3 linked regions of the Stegostoma tigrinum genome follow. The protein of the gene in region 3 binds, or shares a complex with, the protein of the main gene of each other region. Links are inferred from orthologs where the notes say so. Each region holds a gene or a part of one and is shown on either strand. Other genes may lie near its edges.

The links. The genes of interacting proteins can lie anywhere in the genome.
Region 1: vps54 (region 3) and vps52 share a complex: the UniProt entries of both Homo sapiens proteins name them as parts of the golgi-associated retrograde protein (GARP) complex. The link is inferred for Stegostoma tigrinum from reciprocal best matches to the Homo sapiens genes VPS54 and VPS52.
Region 2: vps54 (region 3) and vps51 share a complex: the UniProt entries of both Homo sapiens proteins name them as parts of the golgi-associated retrograde protein (GARP) complex. The link is inferred for Stegostoma tigrinum from reciprocal best matches to the Homo sapiens genes VPS54 and VPS51.

Annotation. Positions count from the first base shown.
Region 1 is NC_081387.1:27,635,440-27,642,947, reverse strand, and holds the start of vps52 (vacuolar protein sorting-associated protein 52 homolog), read right to left. Parts: upstream 3,003-7,508; 5' UTR 2,902-3,002; coding exon 2,869-2,901; intron 2,500-2,868; exon of another isoform or gene 2,300-2,499; coding exon of another isoform or gene 2,279-2,299; intron 1-2,278. Other genes in the region: gpank1 (G patch domain and ankyrin repeat-containing protein 1), read left to right, coding at 6,474-7,054. UniProt on the Homo sapiens protein: Acts as a component of the GARP complex that is involved in retrograde transport from early and late endosomes to the trans-Golgi network (TGN).
Region 2 is NW_026728199.1:142,966-149,844, forward strand, and holds the start of vps51 (vacuolar protein sorting-associated protein 51 homolog), read right to left. Parts: upstream 3,003-6,879; 5' UTR 2,960-3,002; coding exon 2,780-2,959; intron 871-2,779; coding exon 741-870; intron 1-740. UniProt on the Homo sapiens protein: Acts as a component of the GARP complex that is involved in retrograde transport from early and late endosomes to the trans-Golgi network (TGN).
Region 3 is NC_081362.1:1,791,732-1,799,550, forward strand, and holds the start of vps54 (vacuolar protein sorting-associated protein 54), read right to left. Parts: upstream 3,008-7,819; 5' UTR 2,951-3,007; intron 1-2,950. UniProt on the Homo sapiens protein: Acts as a component of the GARP complex that is involved in retrograde transport from early and late endosomes to the trans-Golgi network (TGN).

The DNA.
Region 1 (7,508 bases), on a different chromosome or scaffold from region 3:
GGGTGGGTGCAGGAGACTGGAGCTGAATCGCAACACTTAGCATGGTCATACTGAACAATGAGGTAGGTTCGATGGGCTGAAGAGTCCATTCCGCTCCTGTTCTCTTTTGTTCTCATGAATATGGGCGGCTACAGTCCAATTCGTGGCTGTGAACAGAATAAAAGCACAAGAGATAATGGGAACTGCAGATGCTGGAGAATCCGAGATAACAAAGTGTGTAGCTGGATGAACACAGCAGGCCAAGCAGCATCTTAGGAGCAGGAAAGCTGACATTTCGGGCCTAAAAAGTACAAAACTGCTTTTATATCCCACAATACTTCCACAACGTGGAATTTCAAAGGTCAGTAATTATGTGGGAGGCAATGGCCTAGTGGTATTATCATTGGACTATTAATCCAGAGACGCAGATAATGTTCTAGGGACCTGGGTTCGAATCCCGCCCATGGCAGATGGCGGAATTTGAATTCAATAAAAATATCCGGAATTAAGAATTTAATGATGATCATGAATCCATTGCTGTCAGGATAAACCCATCTGGTTCACTAATGTCCTTTAGAGAAGGAAACTGCTGTCCTTACCTGGGCTGGCCTACATGTGACTCCAGACCCACAGTAATGTGGTTGACTCTTACCTGCCCTCTGGGGCAACTGGGGAAGGACAGTAAATGCTGCCTGGCCACCGACGCCCTCATCCCGTGAATGAATAAACTAAAAATTTCAAGATGGCAACCAGTTTCTGCACAGCAAGCCCCCATAAAAAAACCCACATCAGAATCAGGAGCTGGAATCCAGCCCATTGAGCCTGTTCCACCATTTGATGCCAATCTGCCTGATCTTATCTCAGCCTCAACTCCTCTCCTGCCCATAATCCTTCAACCCTTCCACTAATTTAAAAATCAATCACTTCAATGTTGGGTGGACTTTTAACTTCCCTCAGGGCAATTAGGGACGGGCAGTAAACGCAGGTGTAGCCAGCAACACCCTCATCCTGTGAGCGAGTAAAAGTTGACCCAGTGTCTCAACATCCGTTGAGGCAGTGAATTCTACAGGTTCACAGCTCTTTGAGAGAAGTAACTTCTCCTCATCTCTGTTTTAAATCTGCCATCCCTTATCCGAAAATCATAGAATCCCTACAGTGTGGAAGCAGGCCATCTGGTCCATCAAGTCCACAGTGACCCTCTGAAGAGTATACTACCTAGACCCACCCCTTACCCTAGACACTATGGGCAACTTAGCATGGCCAATCTATGACCTCTCCTTCCAGACTGCCCCTCAAGGGGAAACATCCTCTCTATGTCTACTTTCTCAATCCCCATTAGCATCTTCTATCCCTCAATTAGATATCCTCTCTTTCTTCTACACTCCAGACAGCGTAAGCCTAAACTGCTCTGCCTCTCTTCAAAAGGCAAACCCCTCATCTCTGGAATCAATTGAGTGAACCAGCTCTAAGAAATTAATTAAATAAGGTCCAATTATTTTGTTGACTGCTGCTGCTGATTGAGGGATGAACAGTGGACAATTCACTGCCCCTTCTCTCCTTTTAAACAAAATAACATGGCAAGTTTTCGCTTCAGCTGCACAAGCCAAGAAATCATTGCTTCAGCCTCAAGTCTGAAAGACAGCAACTCAAGGTCCTTCACAGATTCAAGTCACACTTCAGAGGCTTCAACACGCTGTATTCCAAAAGTGGCTCTGACCAATGTTCTGTATGGCCCCAACATGACCCTCCCAACTCCTCTACTCAATGCACTCACTAATAAAGGCTAAAGCGTACTGAACACCACCTTCACTGCCCTGTCTATCTGTGAATCCTCCCCTCCCTCCTCCTACACATTTGGAAAGGTAAGGACTGATTGGGGATAATCAACATGGCTCTGCAGGTGGGAAATCATGTCTCAATAACTTAACTGAGTTGTTTGAAAACGTGACAAAGAAAACTGACGAAGGCAGTGCGGTGAATATTGTCCAAATGGATTTCAGTGCGGCATCTGGCAAGATTCCACATGGTAGGCTGGTTAGCATGATTAGATCACATGGGATCTAGGGGGCAGCTAACCAATTGGATATAAAATTGGTTTGAAGGCAGAAGGGGTTGGCAGTAGGGTTTTTTTTAAAAAAAATTAGAGGCTGGAAGCCAGTGGTGTGCCACGAGCATCGGTGCAGGGTCCGCTGCTTTTTGTCATTTATAGAAATGATTTAGATATGAAATTGGAGGTATGATTAGTAAGTTTGCAGATGACACCAAAATTGGAGGTGTAGTAGACAGTGAAGAAAGTTACCTGAGTATAAGGGGATCTCATTCAGATCAGCCAAGTAGATGGAGTTTAATTTAGATAAATGTGAGGTGCTGCATCTTGGAAAGGCAAATCATGGCAGGACTAATACTCCTTCATGGTAAGGTCCTGGGGACTGTTGCTGAACAGAGACCTTGTTGAGGGGGGGGCGGTGCAGGATCACAGTTCCTTGAAAGTGGACTCACAGGGAGACAGGATGGTGAAGGTGTTCGGTACATTAGCCTTTATTGGTCAGTGCGTTGAGTACAGGGAGTTGGGAGGGTCATGTTGGGGCTGGGCAGGACATTGGTTTGGGCCACTTTTGGGATACAGCTCTCAGTTCCGGTCTCCCTGCTACAGGAAGGATGGTGTGAAACTTGGAAGGGTTCAGGAAAGATTTACAAGGATGTTGCTGGGGTTGGAGGGTTTGAGCTACAGGGAGAGAGGCTGAATAGGCTGGGGCTATTTTCCCTGGAGCGTCAGAGGCTGAGGAGGGACCTTATAGAGGTTTATAACATCATGAGGGGCTTGGATAGGGTGAATAGACAAGGTCCCACCCCCCGGGGGGTGAGGGGGGGTTTCGGTCCCGTCCCTACCTCAGCCGCTCCTCCGCCTTCCACCGCCGCCATAGCAACAACATCCGGGGCCCGTCTCCTCACCCGGAACCGGAATCCCCCGGCCAGCCGAGGGGGGGCGGGGTTCGTTTTTCTCTCCCCCCCCCCCCCAAAAAGAAATCCGGGCCACAAGGTCCCTGCGGTTTGACCCTGATCCTCACCCAGTTCGGTAGGGGGTGGGGGTGGTGTAGGGGGTGGGGGGGGGGGGGGGTGGTGGTGGGGGTGGGGAGTAGAGGGACGCAAGGAGCGAAGACTACAACTCCCGGCGCGCACAGCGGCCGCCCACGTCCTCCCGGGGTGCACCGCGGCGGCGCGGTAAGGCCTCCTGGTGTTAGCGATGTCGCGGTGGTAGATGTGTAAAGGTTCCCAGTGTCGGAGGCACAGCGGGCGGGGACGAGGTCTGCCCGCGATTGCTAATTAATCCTTCAGCAATGAGGTAGCAAAGTGTGGGGCTGGATGGACACAGCAGGCCCAGCAGCATCTCAGGAGCACAAAAGCTGACGTTTCGGGCCTAGACCCTTCATCAGAGAGAGGGATGGGGGGAGGGAACTGGAATAAATAGGGAGAGAGGGGGAGGCGGACCGAAGATGGAGAGTAAAGAAGATAGGTGGAGAGAGTATAGGTGGGGAGGTAGGGAGGGGATAGGTCAGTCAGGGAAGACGGACAGGTCAAGGAGGTGGGATGGGGTTAGTAGGTAGCTGGGGGTGCGGCTTGGGGTGGGAGGAAGGGATGGGTGAGAGGAAGAACAGGTTAGGGAGGCAGAGACAGGCTGGACTGGTTTTGGGATGCAGTGGGTGGGGGGGAAGAGCTGGGCTGGTTGTGTGGTGCAGTGGGGGGAGGGGATGAACTGGGCTGGTTTAGGGATGCGGTGGGGGAAGGGGAGATTTTGAAACTGGTGAAGTCCACATTGATACCATATGGCTGCAGGGTTCCCAAGCGGAATATGAGTTGCTGTTCCTGCAACCTTCGGGTGGCATCATTGTGGCAGTGCAGGAGGCCCATGATGGACATGTCATCTAAAGAATGGGAGGGGGAGTGGAAATGGTTTGCGACTGGGAGGTGCAGTTGTTTGTTGCGAACTGAGCGGAGGTGTTCTGCAAAGCGGTCCCCAAGCCTCCGCTTGGTTTCCCCAATGTAGAGGAAGCCACACCGGGTACAGTCGATACAGTATACCACATTGGCAGATGTGCAGGTGAACCTCTGCTTAATGTGGAATGTCATCTTGGGGCCTGGGATGGGGGTGAGGGAGGAGGTGTGGGGACAAGTGTAGCATCTCCTGCGGTTCTTCATGCCTGGGATGCGGGTGAGGGAGTATCAGATGGAATTTAATTTGGGTGAATGTGAGATTACATTTTAGTGAAACAAACAAGGGTAAGACCTGTACAATTAAAAGTTAGGCATTGGATGGTGTTGGACAACAAGGACACCTAGGGATTCAGCGACATAATTCTGTGAGGTTTTGCGTCACATGCAGACAGGGTGGTTAAGAAGGTAATTGTACACCTGCCTTCCTTGCTGACACAAAGAACAAAGAAAATTACAGCAGAGGAACAGGCCCTTCGGCCCTCCAAGCCTGCACCGACCTGCTGCCCATCACAACTAAAACCCCCTACACGTCCGGAGACCCTATTCCTCTATTCCCATCCTATTCATGTAATTGTCAAGGCGTCCTTTAAAAGTCACTACAGTATCAGCTTCCAGTACCACCCCCAGCAGCGCCTTCCAGGCACCCACCACCCTCCTGTGTAAAAAAAAAACAAACTTGCTTCATACATCACCTTTAAACCTATCCCCTCGTACCTTAAACCCATGGCCCCTGGTAACTGACTCTTCCATCCTGGGGAAAAAGCTTCTGACTGACCATTCTGTCCATGCCCTTCATAATCCTGTAGACCTCTATCCGGTCACCCCTCAACCTTTGTCGTTCCAGTGAGAACAACCCACGTTTCTCCAACCCCTCCTAATAGCTAATGCCCTCCATACCAGGCAAAATTCTGGTAAATATTTCCTGTATCCTCTCCAAAGCCACCACATCCTTCTGGTAGTGTGCTGACCAGAATTGAACACAATATTCCAAATGCGGCTGATCAAAGGTTCTTTAAAGCTGCAACATTACCCCCCCCCCCCCCCTTTTAAAACCCAGTGCCCTGGCCAATGAAGGGAAGCATGCCGTATGCCTTGTTGACTACTTTTTCCACCTGTGTTGCCCTTTCGGTGACCTGTGTACCTGTACACCCAGATCCCTCTGCTATCGGTACTCTTAAGGGTTCTTGCCATTTACGTTATAATTTCCAACTGAATCAGACCTTCCAAAATGCATTACCTCGCGTTTTTCCAGATTAAACTGCATCTGCCATCTCTCTGCCCAAGACACCAAGCAATCTATATCCTGCTGTTTCCTTTTGACGGTCCTCATCACTACCTGCATTCCACCAACCTTTGTGTCATCAGCAAACTTACTGATCAGTCCAGTTACTTTCTCCTCCAAATCATTTATGTATATTACCATCAGTGAAGGTCCCAACGCTGATCCCTGAGGAATGCCACTATTCATGTGCTGATCTAAAAGTCTCTTAAACACACCTATTGTATATTTCTAAATGCCACAGCCCTCCATTCAGAAACACACCCTTCCACTGTTACCCTCTGTCTTCTATGACTGAGCCAGTTTTTTCCATCTTCTTGCAATCTCACCTCTGACCCTGTGCAACTTTACCTTTACCTTCTGTATCAGACGTTTGAGTTTTGAAGTTGCGATGAGGTTGTCGGATGTTGGTGAGGCCTCTCCTGGAGCACTGTATGCGGTTCCGGTCGCCCTGATATAGGAAGGATATTATTAAACTGGAGAGGGGTCAGAAAAAATTTACCAGGATGTTGCCAGGAATGGAGGATTTGAGTTGTAAGGAGAGGCTGGATTGGCGGGGTTGTCTTTTTTTATTGGTGTTGTAGGAGGTTGAGCGTTGACTTTACAGAGGTTTTTAAAATGATGAGGAGTACAGATACAGTGAATGGCAGGAGTCATTTCCCTTGGGTGGGGGATTGCGAGTCTAGGGGGCATCTTTTTCAGATGAGAGGAGAACAATTTAAAAAGGATAATAGGGGCATTTTTTTTTAAACACCGAGTGTGGTTCATGTGTGGAATGAACTTCCAGAGGAAGTGGTGGATGCGATACAGTTACAGCGTTTGGATAGGTACATGAATAAGAAATGTTTGGATGGATATGAGTCAAGTGCAGGCAATGGGACTAGTTTAGTTTACGCTGGTTGGAGTAAAGGATATGTTACCATGCTGTGTGACTCTATAACACTGTTAATATGCTGTTGTCACTATATCGTACTAATCTTCCTATGTTAGTCTTGTAATATTCCTCATTTCTCTTCTCAATTTGATATTAGTCTTATGTCTGTAGCTACTCTATCAGATTGGTTTTTGTATTTATTCAATTGCAACTCTGAAAAAAATGACAGTTATTGCAAATTCTGCTTTTGCTTTTGCACACAGTTGTCTCTGGGATGTGAAGTGCCCATTGCCAGTAGCAAAGTGAGCCCTAAGTAATCAGAAGTGCAGGCAAAGAACATTCTTCATCATGGATCACATGAACCTCATCACTTTTACCCGAGCCAAAGATGAAACAGACACCTGGGAAAATGGAGAGCGTCAGAAACCTCCATCGCCTGGCCCCGGGATTGAAGTCCTGACTGGAGATGAGGTGAAAAAGTTTTATGAGAGCCTTCTCACATCAGATGGTGAGGCAGGTACGAGTTCCATTCGGAAACGTAAAGTTGTTTGGCAGACGTCAAAGACTGAAAGGACCAACAGGGAGCAAACTCCAAGGAGTCTGCCTGCTGCAGCAACGGAGAGGAATGGACACCTCCTGCTAAAATGTGCTCAGGATGGGGACCTGAAAAGGCTTCGCAGGTTACTGGAGACTGCAATGTGTGATATAAATTTCCGGGACAGTTATTACTGGACTGCCACAATGTGTGCGGCGTACAGCGGGCAGGCAGAGGTGGTGAAGTACTTACTGAACCGTGGGGCTGCATGGATTGGAGTGTGCGATTCCACGGGGCGAGATGCTTTGGATTTGGCCAGACAAGCTGGGCATGTTGAAATCATCACAATGTTTGAAGAATTTCATACTCGCCGGGAGGAACTGCAGGAACCAAGGTGAGAAGGCTGGGGTAAAGACTCCTATCTCCAGGCTGGTAGTGAGCGTGTGGACTGCCTGGAAATGTTGGGGGAGGCAGGTTTCATTGCGATATTCCCAGAGGGGCATTGGATGGGTGTTTGTTTGGAAATGGTGCACAGCGGAAAAGGCAGGAGATTGGGCACTGGGGAGTACAGCCAATGCAAGCAATATAGGGTAGAATGGCCTGATCCTGTGCCATGTCACTTCTTTGATCTTGTTAGCCCTTCGTGCTGGGATGCAAGCCAGCTTCTGTGATATCCCAACATTTGGATGTAACATCTTCCTTTTCCCTTGCCCCGCAATCTCCCAACTGCTGACCTGGTTCAACTCCTGATGTTGCCACTCGTTCTGTGTAACATTCCCACTGTTGTTGGTTAGATTGTGTCTCTTATTGGAGATAGCCATTGCCTGGCGCTTGTGTGGCGTGATTGC
Region 2 (6,879 bases), on a different chromosome or scaffold from region 3:
CACCGTAACCTGCACATCTTTGGACAGTGGGAGGAAACTGGAGCACCCGGAGGAAACCCCCGCAGACAGGGGGAGAATGTGCAAACTCCACGCAGTCGCCCGAGGGTGGAATCGAACCCGGGTCCCTTGTCCTGTGGGGCTGCAGTGCGCCACCGTGCCACCCCTATTTTAATATCTCAAACCCTCCAAACTCGGCAACATCCTGATCAATCTTTCCAGCTTCTCACTTTATTTCCTATAACAGGACGACGAGAACTGGACACAGTGCTCCAGAAGAGACCTCATCAACATCCAGTCCAACCTCAACAAGACGTCCCTAACTCCTGTACTCAAACGACTGAGCAATGAAGGTGAGCGTGCTAAACACTTCATTAACCAGAAACAAAAACCAAGTCGTTGCTGGAAAAGCTCAGTGGAGGAGAAAAACCGAGTTAATGCTTTGGGTCCGGTGACGCTTCCTTAGTTCTGCCAGATGTGCTGAACTTTTCCAGCAACTTCTGTTTTTCTTCCTGATTGGTGACATGCACAGTTCTTTTGCTTTCTTAACTCTGTCTACCTGTGACGCAAATTTGAAAGAATTATGTTCCTGAATCCCGAGGTCACTCTGTTGTACAACACTCCCCAGGACCCTACCACGAACTGTTTAAGTCCTGTGCTTGTTTGTATTACCAAAATGCATCAGCGTGATCATACCAAGTGGCTGACTCCTAACTTCTACAAACTCTACGTTTCTGCCCTACCTGTGGCAGAGATAAACTTGTTGTAGTTTTCATAGACCAGAGTCTGCATGTCGCTGTCCAGGGCTCGGATGTGTTTCACCATCTCAGCTTCACTTTCCATCAGTTCTGCCAGTGTGCACTCCTTCCTGAGCTGTCACACAGGAGAGAGTGAGCAGATTATGTTAGCAACGGACCCCGTGATCATCCCTCCTGCTGCTGGCTGTGTCGGGCTCTTGCTGGGCTCTGGACTCCACAGGAAGCACCTGGTCCGACTGTCCTAACCCAGCATTCACGTGTTCAAGAAACCTGTGTTTCCGCTGGTGGGAGGGGGTCACCGCACATTTCTCCCATCTCACCTGAAGAGGTGACACTCACATTCCCCTTTGCTCACTCATACTCCCCTTTTTCCACAGGGGAAGGGTCATGCACTCCGCGAGCCCACTCTCTATCAAACATTCACTGCACTCTGATTGAGGATCACCCCTCCCTCCCTCCCTCTCTCTCATTAGGGGAGGGTCACATATCCTTCCCCGTTCTCCCTGTGCGGGAGGTGTTTGACTGTCCCACAACACCCAGCCACCCCTCAGTCTGGGGAGGGTCAAAACTCCCCTCTCTGTGGGAAGGGCACAACGCCTCTCCTCTCACTGTGGGGAGGGCAAGGGAGAGGAGGAGTGGGGGGGGAAGCCAGATTGGGGATGGAGGATCAGAAGTTGGGAGGGGGATTGGAAGATTTCAAGAGGGGGGAAGATTTGGCGGGGGAGGAGAGGAAAAGACTGGGAAGTGGCTGGGGCAGAAGTCCAAGGAGAGGGCGGGTAGAAATGGCTGGGGGAGGGGGGCAGTTATGGTAGAAGGGGAAGGGGCAGTTATGGCGGGGGAAGGGGCAGTTATGGCGGGGGAAGGGGGAGGGTTTGAGGGGGGGAGGGTTTGAGGGGGGGAGGGGAGGGTGTGTGAGGGGGGCGAGGGTGTGTGAGGGGGGGGGAGGGTGTGTGAGGGGGGGGGAGGGTGTGTGAGGGGGGGGGAGGGTGTGTGAGGGGGGGGAGGGTGTGTGAGGGGGGGGAGGGTGTGTGAGGGGGGGGAGGGTGTGTGAGGGGGGGGGAGGGTGTGTGAGGGGGGGGAGGGTGTGTGAGGGGGGGGAGAGGGTGTGTGAGGGGGGGGGAGGGTGTGTGAGGGGGGGGAGGGTGTGTGAGGGGGGGGAGGGTGTGTGAGGGGGGGGAGGGTGTGAGAGGGGGGGAGGGGAGGGTGTGAGAGGGGGGGAGGGGAGGGTGTGTGAGGGGGGGGGGGGTGTGTGAGGGGGGGGAGGGGGGTGTGTGAGGGGGGGAAGGGGGGTGTGTGAGGGGGGGGAAGGGGGGTGTGTGAGGGGGGGAAGGGGGGTGTGTGAGGGGGGGGAGGGGGGTGTGTGAGGGGGGGGAGGGGGGTGTGTGAGGGGGGGGAGGGGGGTGTGTGAGGGGGGGGAGGGGGGTGTGTGAGGGGGGGAGGGGGGTGTGTGAGGGGGGGAGGGGGGGTGTGTGAGGGGGGGGTGTGAGGGGGGAGGGGGTGTGTGAGGGGGGAGGGGGTGTGTGAGGGGGGGAGGGGGGGGAGGGGTGTGTGTGAGGGGGGGGGTGTGTGAGGGGGGGGAGGGGGGGGCTGTGTGAGGGGGGGGGAGGGGGGGGCTGAGGGGGGGGGGGCTGTGTGAGGGGGGGAGGAGGGGGGGCTGTGTGAGGGGGGGAGGAGGGGGGGTGTGTGAGGGGGGGGGAGGGGGGTGTGTGAGGGGGGGGAGGGGGGTGTGTGAGGGGGGGGAGGGGGGTGTGTGAGGGGGGGGAGGGGGGTGTGTGAGGGGGGGGAGGGGGGTGTGTGAGGGGGGGGAGGGGGGGTGTGTGAGGGGGGGAGGGGGGTGTGTGAGGGGGGGGGAGGGGGGTGTGTGAGGGGGGGGGGAGGGGGGTGTGTGAGGGGGGGGGGAGGGGGGGTGTGTGAGGGGGGGGGAGGGGGGGTGTGTGAGGGGGGGGGAGGGGGGTGTGTGAGGGGGGGGGAGGGGGGTGTGTGAGGGGGGGGGGAGGGGGGTGTGTGAGGGGGGGGGGCGGCACCTTGTTGAGGTAAAACTCGGGCTGGAAGTGGGCCCCGTCGATGTCCCCGGGGTCGAGCGGCTCCCGGGAGCCCTCGTTCAGGCCGTAGTAGAGTTTGAGCATCCCCCGGATCCGCCGCTTCTTCCCGGGGCCCGGCTCCGGCTCCGCTTCGGGCTCGGGCTCCGCCGCCGCCGCCGCCATCTTCCCAACAACAACAACCCGGCGGCCAGGGCCTGGAACAATAAAGTTCTTGTTGAAGAGGCCTAGCACAAAAGGCTTCTGTCACCACCTTTCCCTTAAAAACATGAAAACAATTATCTTTCTAACACATGGCTGCGGGTCTAAACCTAATCAGAGTGTTTGCGAACTCAAACCCCCAACTCTAGGCCTGGCGCAATTATTTTGTGGCCACATTTTGATTTTAGCAGAAAGGCCGCCCCCTTGGCTCTGGAAAGCACCGAAAAACGGTCATGTTCGGTTCATGATGGCCCTTTCGTCTTGGGGCGTTGGGGTGATGCTGTCGCCCTCCTCTCTCCGCGTTGACTGGGACAATGTATCCCCACACAGCAAGTGCCCATCCATCCGACCCAGGGTTGCCCGCCCCCAACCAACCCAGTCGCTTGCTGTCTCCGCATAGCAAGATCCCATTCATTCACCCAGGGTTGTCCCCCGCCAATCCTGTCGCAAGTCACAGGGGCAGGGCGAAAACGTGACCCTTTCCTGGCAAGGCGAAGCAAAGGTATAATGTGAAATAAATTACAGAAGGGAGATGCCTCGCGACCAGGACTTCAGACATTCAAACGGAAGGAGAGCGCAGTGGAGATCAGGGACTGGTTAATAAACAATTTAGCACGGCCAATCCACCCTAACCCGCACATCCCTGGGCACTACGGGACAATTTAGCACGGCCAATCCACCCTAACCCGCACATCCTTGGACACTATGGGACAATTTAGCACGGCCAATCCACCCTAACCCGCACATCCCTGGGCACTACGGGACAATTTAGCACGGCCAATCCACCCTAACCCGCACATCCTTGGACACTATGGGACAATTTAGCACGGCCAATCCACCCTAACCCGCACATCCCTGGGCACTACGGGACAATTTAGCACGGCCAATCCACCCTAACCCGCACATCCTTGGACACTATGGGACAATTTAGCACGGCCAATCCACCCTAACCTGCACATCCCTGGACACTATGGGACAATTTAGCACGGCCAATCCACCCTAACCCACACATCCCTGGACACTATGGGACAATTTAGCACGGCCAATCCACCCTAACCTGCACATCCCTGGGCACTAAGGGACAATTTAGCACGGCCAATCCACCCTAACCCACACATCCCTGGACACTATGGGACAATTTAGCACGGCCAATCCACCCTAACCTGCACATCCCTGGGCACTAAGGGACAATTTAGCACGGCCAATCCACCCTAACCCACACATCCCTGGACACTATGGGACAATTTAGCACGGCCAATCCACCCTAACCCGCACATCCTTGGACACTATGGGACAATTTAGCGCGGCCAATCCACCCTAACCTGCACATCCCTGGGCACTATAGGACAATTTAGCACGGCCAATCCACCCTAACCAGCACATCCCTGGGCACTATGGGACAATTTAGCACGGCCAATCCACCCTAACCTGCACATCCCTGGGCACTATAGGACAATTTAGCACGGCCAATCCACCCTAACCCGCACATCCCTGGGCACTATGGAACAATTTAGCACGGCCAATCCACCCTAACCTGCACATCCCTGGGCACTATAGGACAATTTAGCACGGCCAATCCACCCTAACCCGCACATCCCTGGGCACTATGGAACAATTTAGCACGGCCTATCCACCCTAACCTGCACATCCCTGGGCACTATAGGACAATTTAGCACGGCCAATCCACCCTAACCTGCACATCCCTGGGCACTATGGAACAATTTAGCACGGCCAATCCACCCTAACCCGCACATCCCTGGGTACTATGGGACAATTTAGCACGGCCAATCCACCCTAACCTGCACATCCCTGGGCACTATGGGACAATTTAGCATGGCCAATCCACCCTAACCCGCACATCCCTGGGCACTATGGGACAATTTAGCACGGCCAATCCACCCTAACCCGCACATCCCTGGACACTATGGGACAATTTAGCACGGCCAATCCACCCTAACCCGCACATCCCTGCGCACTATGGGACAATTTAGCACGGCCAATCCACCCTAACCCGCACATCCCTGTGCACTATGGGACTATTTAGCACGGCCAATCCACACTAACCTGCACATCCCTGGGCACTATGGGACAATTTAGCACAGCCAATCCACCCTAACCTGCACATCCCCGGGCACTATGGGACAATTTAGCATGTCCAATCCACCCTAACCCGCACATCCCTGGACACTATGGGACAATTCAGCACGGCCAATCCACTCTAACCTGCACATCCCTGGGCACTATGGGACAATTCAGCACGGCCAATCCACCATAACCTGCACATCCCTGGGCACTATGGGACAATTTAGCACGGCCAATCCACCCTAACCCGCACATCCCTGGGCACTATGGGACAATTCAGCACGGCCAATCCACCCTAACCTGCACATCCCTGGGCACTATGGGACAATTTAGCACGGCCAATCCACCCTAACACACACATCCCTGGGCACTATGGGACAATTTAGCACGGCCAATCCACCCTAACCCGCACATCCCTGGACACTATGGGACAATTTAGCACGGCCAATCCACCCTAACCTGCACATCCCTGGGCACTATGGGACAATTTAGCACGGCCAATCCACCCTAACCCGCACATCCCTGGGCACTATGGGACAATTTAGCACGGCCAATCCACACTAACCAGCACATCCCTGGACACTATGGGACAATTTAGCACGGCCAATCCACACTAACCAGCACATCCCTGTGCACTATGGGACAATTTAGCACGGCCAATCCACCCTAACCCGCACATCCCTAGGCACTATGGGACAATTTAGCACGGCCAATCCACCCTAACCTGTACATCCCTGGGCACTATGGGACAATTTAGCACGGCCAATCCACCCTAACCTGCACATCCCTGGACACTATGGGACAATTTAGCATGGCCAATCCACCCTAACCCGCACATCCCTGGGCACTATGGAACAATTTAGCACGGCCAACCCACCCTAACTTGCACATCCCTGGGCACTATGGGACAATTTAGCACGGCCAATCCACCCTAACCTGCACATCCCTGGGCACTATGGGACAATTTAGCACGGCCAATCCACCCTAACCCGCACATCCCTGGGCACTATGGGACAATTTAGCACGGCCAATCCACCCTAACCCGCACATCCCTGGGCACTATGGGACAATTTAGCACGGCCAATCCACCCTAACCTGCACATCCCTGGGCACTATGGGACAATTTAGCACGGCCAATCCACCCTAACCCGCACATCCCTGGGCACTATGGGACAATTTGGCATGGCCAATCCACCCTAACCTGTACATCCCTGGGCACTACGGGACAATTTAGCACGTCCATTCCACCCGAACCTGCACATCCCTGGGCACTATGGGACAATTTAGCACGGCCAATCCACCCTAACCTGCACATCCCTGGGCACTATGGGACAATTTAGCACGGCCAATCCACCCGAACCTGCCCATCCCTGGGCACTATGGGACAATTTAGCATGGCCAATCCACCCTAACCCGCACATCCCTGGGCACTATGGGACAATTTAGCACGGCCAACCCACCCTAACCTGCACATCCGTGGACACTATGGGACAATTTAGCACGGCCAACCCACCCTAACCTGCACATCCCTGGACACTATGGGACAATTTAGCACGGCCAATCCACCCTAACCCACACATCCCTGGGCACTAAGCGACAATTTAGCACGGCCAATCCACCCTAACCCACACATCCCTGGGCACTAAGCGACAATTTAGCACGGCCAATCCATCCTAACCTGTACATCCCTGAGCACTATGGGGCAATTTAGCACGGCCAATCCACCCTAACCTGCACATCCCTGGACACTACGGGGCAATTTAGCACGGCCAATCCACCCAAACCTGCACATCACTGGACAC
Region 3 (7,819 bases):
GTGGAATGTCATCTTGGGGCCTGGGATAGGGGTGAGGGGGGAGGTGTGGGGGCAAGTGTAGCATTTCCTGCGGTTGCAGGGGCAGGTGCCGGGTGTGGTGGGGTTGGAGGGCAGTGTGGAGCGAACAAGGGAGTCACGGAGAGAGTGGTCTCTCCGGAAAGCCGACAGGGGTGGGGATGGAAAAATTGTAGATGGCGGAAGTGTCGGAGGATGATGCGTTGTATCCGGAGGTTGGTGGGGTGGTGTGTGAGAACGAGGGGGATCCTCTTTGTTCCTGGACCTCTCAGTCTCCATCTCAGGCAACCAGCTTGTAACTGATGTCCATCCCACCCCACCAACCTCCGGATACAACGCATCATCCTCCGACACTTCCGCCATCTACAATCTGACCCCACCATCCAAAACATTTTTCCATCCCCACCCCTGTCTGCTTTCCGGAGAGACCACTCTCTCCGTGACTCCCTTGTTCCCTTCACACTGCCCTCCAACCCCACCACACCCGGCACCTGCCCCTGCAACCGCAGGAAATGCTACACTTGTCCCCACACCTCCCCCCTCACCCCTATCCCAGGCCCCAAGATGACATTCCACATTAAGCAGAGGTTCACCTGCACATCTGCCAATGTGGTATACTGCATCCAATGTACCCGGTGTGGCTTCCTCTACATTGGGGAAACCAAGCGGAGGCTTGGAGACCGCTTTGCAGAACACCTCCGCTCAGTTTGCAACAAACTACTGCACCTCCCAGTCGCAAACCATTTCCACTCCCCCTCCTATTCTCTAGATGACATGTCCATCATGGGCCTCCTGCACTGCCACAATGATGCCACCCGAAGGTTGCAGGAACAGCAACTCATATTCCGCCTGGGAACCCTGCAGCCTAATGGTATCAATGTGGACTTCACCAGCTTCAAAATCTCCCCTTCCCCAACTTCATCCCTAAACCAGCCCAGTTCGTCCCCTCCCACCACTGCACCACACAACCAGCCCAGCTCCTCCACTCCACCCACTGCATCCCAAAACCAGTCCAACCTGTCTCCGCCTCCCTAACCTGTTCTTCCTCTCACCCATCCCCTCCTCCCACCCCAAGCCGCACTTCCACCTACTAACCTCATCCCACCTCCTTGACCTGTCTGTCTTCCCTGGACTGACCTATCCCCTCCCTACCTCCCCACCTATACTCTCTCCACCTATCTTCTTTTCTCTCCATCTTCGGTCCGCCTCCCCCTCTCTCCCTATTTATTCCAGAACCCTCACCCCATCCCCCTCTCTGATGAAGGGTCTAGGCCCGAAACGTCAGCTTTTGTGCTCCTGAGATGCCGCTTGGCCTACTGTGTTCATCCAGCCTCACGTTTTGCTGCATTACTTCATCAGGAGCCAGTATCCATAAGATCATAAGATACAGCAGGAGAATTAGGTCATTTGACCCATTTACCTTGCTCCACAATTCATTAACATTATGGCTGATCCGGTTGTGATCTCAGCTCCACTTCTCTGTTTGTGACCATACCCCACAACTCCCTTGCTTGTCAAAACTCTAACTCAACCTTGATTAAATTCAATATTCCAGCCTTCACTGCCTTCTGTGCAAGTGATATCAACGGACTAATAGCCCTCAGAGTAAAAAAAAATCTTGTCTGTCTTTAAAAGGGAAATCTCTTGGCTCTGAAGAAGTCTTTGGACTCAAAATGTTTCTTCCTCGCCACAGATCTTGTCAGGCTTGCTGAGTTTCTCCTGCACTTTCGGCTTATATTCCTTGTTCTGAAACTGTGCTCCCCAGTTCTAATCTCTCTCTGACAGAGGGAGTACAGTCTGCAAGCTTGTGATTTCAAATAACCTGTTGGGCTATAACCTGGAGTTGTCTGATTTCAGGGGCGGCACAGTGGCTCAGTGGTTAGCACTGCAGCCTCACAGCACCAGGGACCTGGGTTCGATTCCAGCCTCAGGTAACTGTCTGTGCGGAATTTGCACATTCTCCCCGTGTCTGCATGAGTTTCCTTCGGGTGCTCTCGTTTCCTCCCACAGTCCAAAGATGTGCAGGCTAGGTGGAATGGCTGTGCTAAATTGCCCATAGTGTTCAGGGGTGTGTGGGTTATAGGGGAATGGGCCTGGGTGGGATGCTCCAAGGGGCGGTGTGGGCTTGTTGGGCCGAAGGGGCCTGTTTCCACACTGTAGGGAATCTAATCTAATTTCTGATCTAGTCTCTCCTGGGAAGAGGAAACATCCTTTGGGTGCCCACCATCATGCCTGAGTGAATGCCTCTTCTAAAGAGCCTGCACAGGTATGATGGACCAAATGGTCTCCTGTGCATTCTAGCATTCCATTCAGACATTTTGATAAGAATAGCTTCCAAAGAATCCAAACCAATACCACATCCCCACAAATTAGGAAGAACGCAGAATATAGCACTTGGGGAAGGAGATACTAGCACCTGCCCAGAGGACATGAAAAATAAGAAACAGGAGGCAGACTTTAGGAGGGGAGGAAGAGTGTGACCGGAACCAAAACATTAACTCTGATTTCTCTCCACAGATGCTACCAGACTTGTTGAGCTTTCCCAGCAATTTCTGTTTTTGTTGTTGATCAGGGAAGGGGGTGGTGCTAGGACAGGCAGAGCGGGCTGAGCGGTCATTATGCTTTGATTCTGCGAACCCGGTGTATGTCTCACACTCGGGAAGAGCACGGCGTTAAGCGGGGTGGCGGTGGTTTCGGGGATCAGGAAGCGGCGGCCGCTGACACTGTCCCCCGAACCCGGAGAAACAGAAACCCCAGCTCCGCGGCCTAACGTACCGGCCCGGTCCTATCCGGAGCCCGGCCCCGTAACCAACAGGAGGTTTGGGGTGGGGGGGGGGGAAGTGATCGAGTCAAGAACCAGCCCCTCATCTAGACACCCGTTTCCCTCATCCATCTGTCCCACACCCCGGAGCTGCGGACAAACTCTCACCCTCACCTGCTCCCGCTACCGCCTGGAGCCACCATCGGACCTCCCAGTCCTCCCGGCCCGTCCCGACAGGCACTGCGCGGTCTGCTGGGGCGGGACCCGCGCTCCCCACATCACCTGATCTGATTGACGGCGGTTCTAGCCAATTAGAGTGCAGGCATGTCGCAGGTTTTATGGGTGTAGGGGGGGTGAGGGCCGGGGCGGAGAAGGTGTGTGAGTCTGCGCGCGCGTGGGAGAAACGGATTTTCAAACCGACAGAGGGGCGTGTGGACCGTGCTATGAAAACCGAAGTAATCTGTACGGCTCGTCTGTGTGTGTGAACACAACCGAAAAAACAAGACTGATGTGTCAACTCTGTAATCAGATCCTGCTAACAATGACCATTAGGAATCCGAGATAGAGATAGTAGGGACTGCCAACGCTGCAGAATCTGAGATAACACAGTGTGGAGGTGGACGGACACAGGAGGACAAGCAGCAGCAGCAGAGGAGCAGGAAAGGCTGATGTTTGAGGCCTAGACCCTCCTTCAGAAATTGGAGCGGGGGGGGGGGGGGGTCTGAATTAAATAGGGAGAGAGAGCGCGGACCGGTTGTGCTTCAGTATCTGCACCCCCCCCCCCCCCCCAGTCCCAAAGGATTCATGTCCCTCCTCCCTCCCCCAAAGGCTATTGAAACATGAGATTCTTAGTGTGTTTAACAAGGTGTGGTGTGTGAGAACGAGGGGGATCCTCTTTGTTCCTGGACCTCTCAGTCTCCATCTCAGGCAACCAGCTTGTAACTGATGTCCATCCCACCCCACCAACCTCCGGATACAACGCATCCGACACTTCCGCCATCTACAATCCGACCCCACCATCCAAGACATTGTTTGCCTTTATGGGAGAGACCAGGACCAGATGGCAAATTCTCAAACCCAGGGTTCACTTATTTAAGACAGGGATAAGGAGGAATTTCTTCTCTGAGGGTGATATATCTGTGAAATTCTTTATTGCAGAAGGCTGTTAAGGCTACGTTGTTAAGTATATTCAAGGCTGAGATAGATCAGGGAAGGAAGCAAGAGTTAGGAGGCAAGGGCAGGAAAATAAAGTTGAAGATTATCAGATAAATCATAATCTCATTCCAGTGCTACACAGTTCCCATTATCACTTACATCTTCCTCTATGTTTTCTGATAGGGCGTAATCTCAGAATAAGGAACTGCACGGTTAAGACAGAGATAAGGAGGAATTTCCATCAGAGGATAGTGAATCTGTAGAATTTAGAGTTCATTCTTAAGAATGAGACTGCAGAATACTTGGAAGAACGTGATAAAATAGTGTTCAGTCAGCATGGTTTTGTCAAAGGGAGGTCATGCCTGACAAATTTGTTAAGAATTCTTTGAGGAGGTAATAAGCAAGTTCGACAAAGAAGAGCAATGGACACAAACTATTTGGATTTCCAGAAAACCTTCAGTAAGGTGCTGTAACAAAGCTACTTAAATAAGTTAAAAGCCCATGCTGTTAAGAATAAGGTACTGGCATAGATAGAGGATTGGTTAACTGGCAGAAGGCAGAGAGTAGGGATAGGGGTTTTTATCAGGATGGCAACCAGTGACTAGTAGAGTTCCACAGGGGTCAGTGGTGGACCACAAAGGTTCATGTTACACACTAATAATCTGGATGATGGAACTGAGCACATTGTTGGTAAGTTTGCAACTGACACAAAACTATGTGTAGGGAGTGCTGTGGAAGCAGGAGGCTGCTGAAGGACTTGGTTAGTCTTGGAGAGTGGGCAAAGAAGTGGCAGAGGGAATACGACGTGGGAAAGTGCAATGTTACGCACTTTGGTAGGAAGAGGAGACTTGGACTATTTTCTAAATGGGGAAAGGCTTCAGAAACCTGAAGCACAAAGGGACTTGTTTAGACTTCTCTTCTGGTTAATACGCAGGTTCAGTTGGCATTTGGAAGGCAAATACAATCATGCCGTTAGTTTCAGGAGGGCTAGAATACAAGAGCAGAAATGTACTGCTGAGGCTACGTAAAGCTCTGTTCAAACCACATTTGAAATATGATGAGGAGTTTTGAGCCCCCTATCTAAGGAAGGATGTGCTGGCATTGGAGTGATCCAGAGATGTTTACCAAGAATGATCCTGGACTGAAGGCCTTGTGAAACGAGGAGAGGTTGAGGACTCTGCATCCGTACTTGGTGGTGTTTAGCAGGTTGTTGGGGGTAAGTGGGGGGGGGGGGGGGGGGGGAGGGGGTGGAGGTGGGGGAGATCCGAATGAAACTTACAGAATATTGAGACGCCGAGGTAGAGTGGTAGGTGGAGAAAATGTTTCCATTCGTAGGAAAGATTAGGAGCCAGGGGTACATCATCAAAAAATGAAGGACAACCCTTTAGAATTTCTCCAGCCAGAGGGTAGTGAATTTGTGGAATTTATTGTCACAGAGGGCTGTGAAGGCCAAGTCATCGAGTTTATTTAAGTCAGATATAGATTCTCAATTAGTACGGGATCAAGTCATACAGGGAGAAGGTAAGAGAATGAGGTTGAGAAATATAATCGGCCATGACCAAACAGTGGAGCAGACTCAATGGACCAAATGGCCAAATTCTGATTCTATATCTTGTGGGCTTCTGGTAATTCTTTCCCACAGAAGGTGATTGAGTATATTCAAGGCTGAGAGATTTTTAAGCAGGAAGGGAATCTAGGCTTACAGGGAAAAAGCAAGAAACTGGAGTTGAAGCTCATCTTGTTGAGATGTACAGCAAACACAGTGGGCTGAATAGCCATCTTCTGGTCCTAAATCTTATGGTCTTACAACTCAACTACAAAAGCTACACACTGAATTACTGAGGGAATTCTGCACAGGAGTGCTATTTCCTTATGCTTAATGCCAGGGCAATGGAATTTAAAAGTATGCTACTGGTGCATGGCACATCTGGAAGACAATTAACAGTTTTGGTTGCCTTGTTTAAGAAAATATGTATAAACATTAGAAGAAGTTCAGAGAAGGTCCATTTGAAAAATTTCTGAGTTGGGGTTTGCGGAGATGAGCTTATGAGGAAAGTTTGGATAGACTGGGCCTGTTATCCATTTACGTTTGGAAGAACGAGAGGTGGTCTTATTGAAACATATGAGATGCTGAGGGTATTTGACAGGTTGGATGCTAAAGAAATATTTACCTCATAGGAGAGGCATTGGAACAGGAGTGGGCCGTTCAGCCCCTCAAGCCCATTCCACCATTCAATGAGATCATAGCTGATCTGGAGGTTAGAAGTAGAGGATACAGTTTAAAAATACATTTATAACTGAACTAAAGAGAACTTCTTCTAAGGGTCATGAGTGTTTGGAACACTCTTCCCAACAAAACAATGGAGATGTGTCAGAGTATTTTCTATGGTGTAGACATAGATATATTTTTGACTAAAAGGAGTGAAAAGTTATGGTCAATGGAAATATGGAGTTGGCTGGGGTTGGAGTTGACAGTTCCAACTCATGAACTCTCTTTGCAAATGGCAATAAGACCATGCAGGCTGCTTGTATCAAATGATCACTTGTCAAGGCACTACTGTGTTGACTGTCACATCAATAGGAATAGGTTTCATTTGATTGAGGAAGCAACTGTTGTCTGTTCTTTATACTGTTTACTTACCAGCATGTCCATGAAACCAGACAACCAGCAGGACCAAACTGCTCCAAGTTCAGATGCAGATGTTTCCCACCAGATCTTCAGCAGATTGAGCTCCTTGACATCAGACACCAGGGTTACCGCAGATGCCTTCATTAGACTCTACACCTCCTGGAGTGTATTTAGTGGGAAACCAGCAGCAATGTGGGTTGAGATTCACAAGGCAGACATTAGGGGTTTTGCAGATGTCGGAGTTGTTACTGATCATAAATGGATCAATTTGTGAAATCAGTATATATATTTTCAAACAACGGAGGACTTTTTTTCAGTTCCTGTTGCTCTTTAAAATCCTCACATTGGCGCAGAGACACCTGTGAAGTTGACTCCAAAAAGGATATTGGAATAAAAAACAAAGTTGCTGGAAAAGCTCAGCAGGTTTGGCAGCATCTGTAAAGGAGAAAACAGCGATAACGTTTAGGGTCCGGTGACCCTTCCTCGGTACTCAGGATATTGGAATAATGTTTCTAAGATCTGGAACATGGAAAGGTGGAGAGTTGGTCCTTATCCAATGGATAGTTTTGAGGAATGTCCTCAATTTCCTGTCTCCATATTTGGCAGCTCACATTATTGCTCTAAGACAGCATCCTCGACTTTCTCAACCCCATTTATCTCTTGGGGTTCCACAACAACTAGTTATTGTGCAAAACTGTTTAGCAAGCAACAAATGTTAATGAATTTAGATTTAGTCATGTGCACCGGTGCAGAAATACAGGGAACAGTGAAAAGTGTACTAGTCACCATTCTCCGATGCAAGAGACAGGATTAAAAACAGAAGCAGAAATAAAAGAAACAGCCAAAAGGAGACATCCAGATCACTCCCCCGCCTCCACCATGAGTCCTCATCACCAGAAAAAACACAACCACAAAGTCCATCCCTTAGTCTGCAAACTCTCAGGTGCCTGAGTCCCTGCACACCGCTGCAGTTAGAATGCCACCACCTCTGCCATCAGGTACCCAGGTTCCACCTCTCCAGGTTGGAACCAGGTCACCATTCTTAGCACCATTTTGTCTCTCCTGACATCATCACCATGAAGCTGTGTTGGGCCCTGGATGATCTCAGTAAGAGGGCTTGTCCTGAAAGGATCAGACAGTGGATTTTATTCCAAGATGCTCACACTTTGTTCTGAGAGCTTTGAGCATTGTATGATTCGGGCTAGATTCCTGCTCTGAACTATTGCCCAAGTTTATATCAAGCTGCTTGAGCCAGCTGA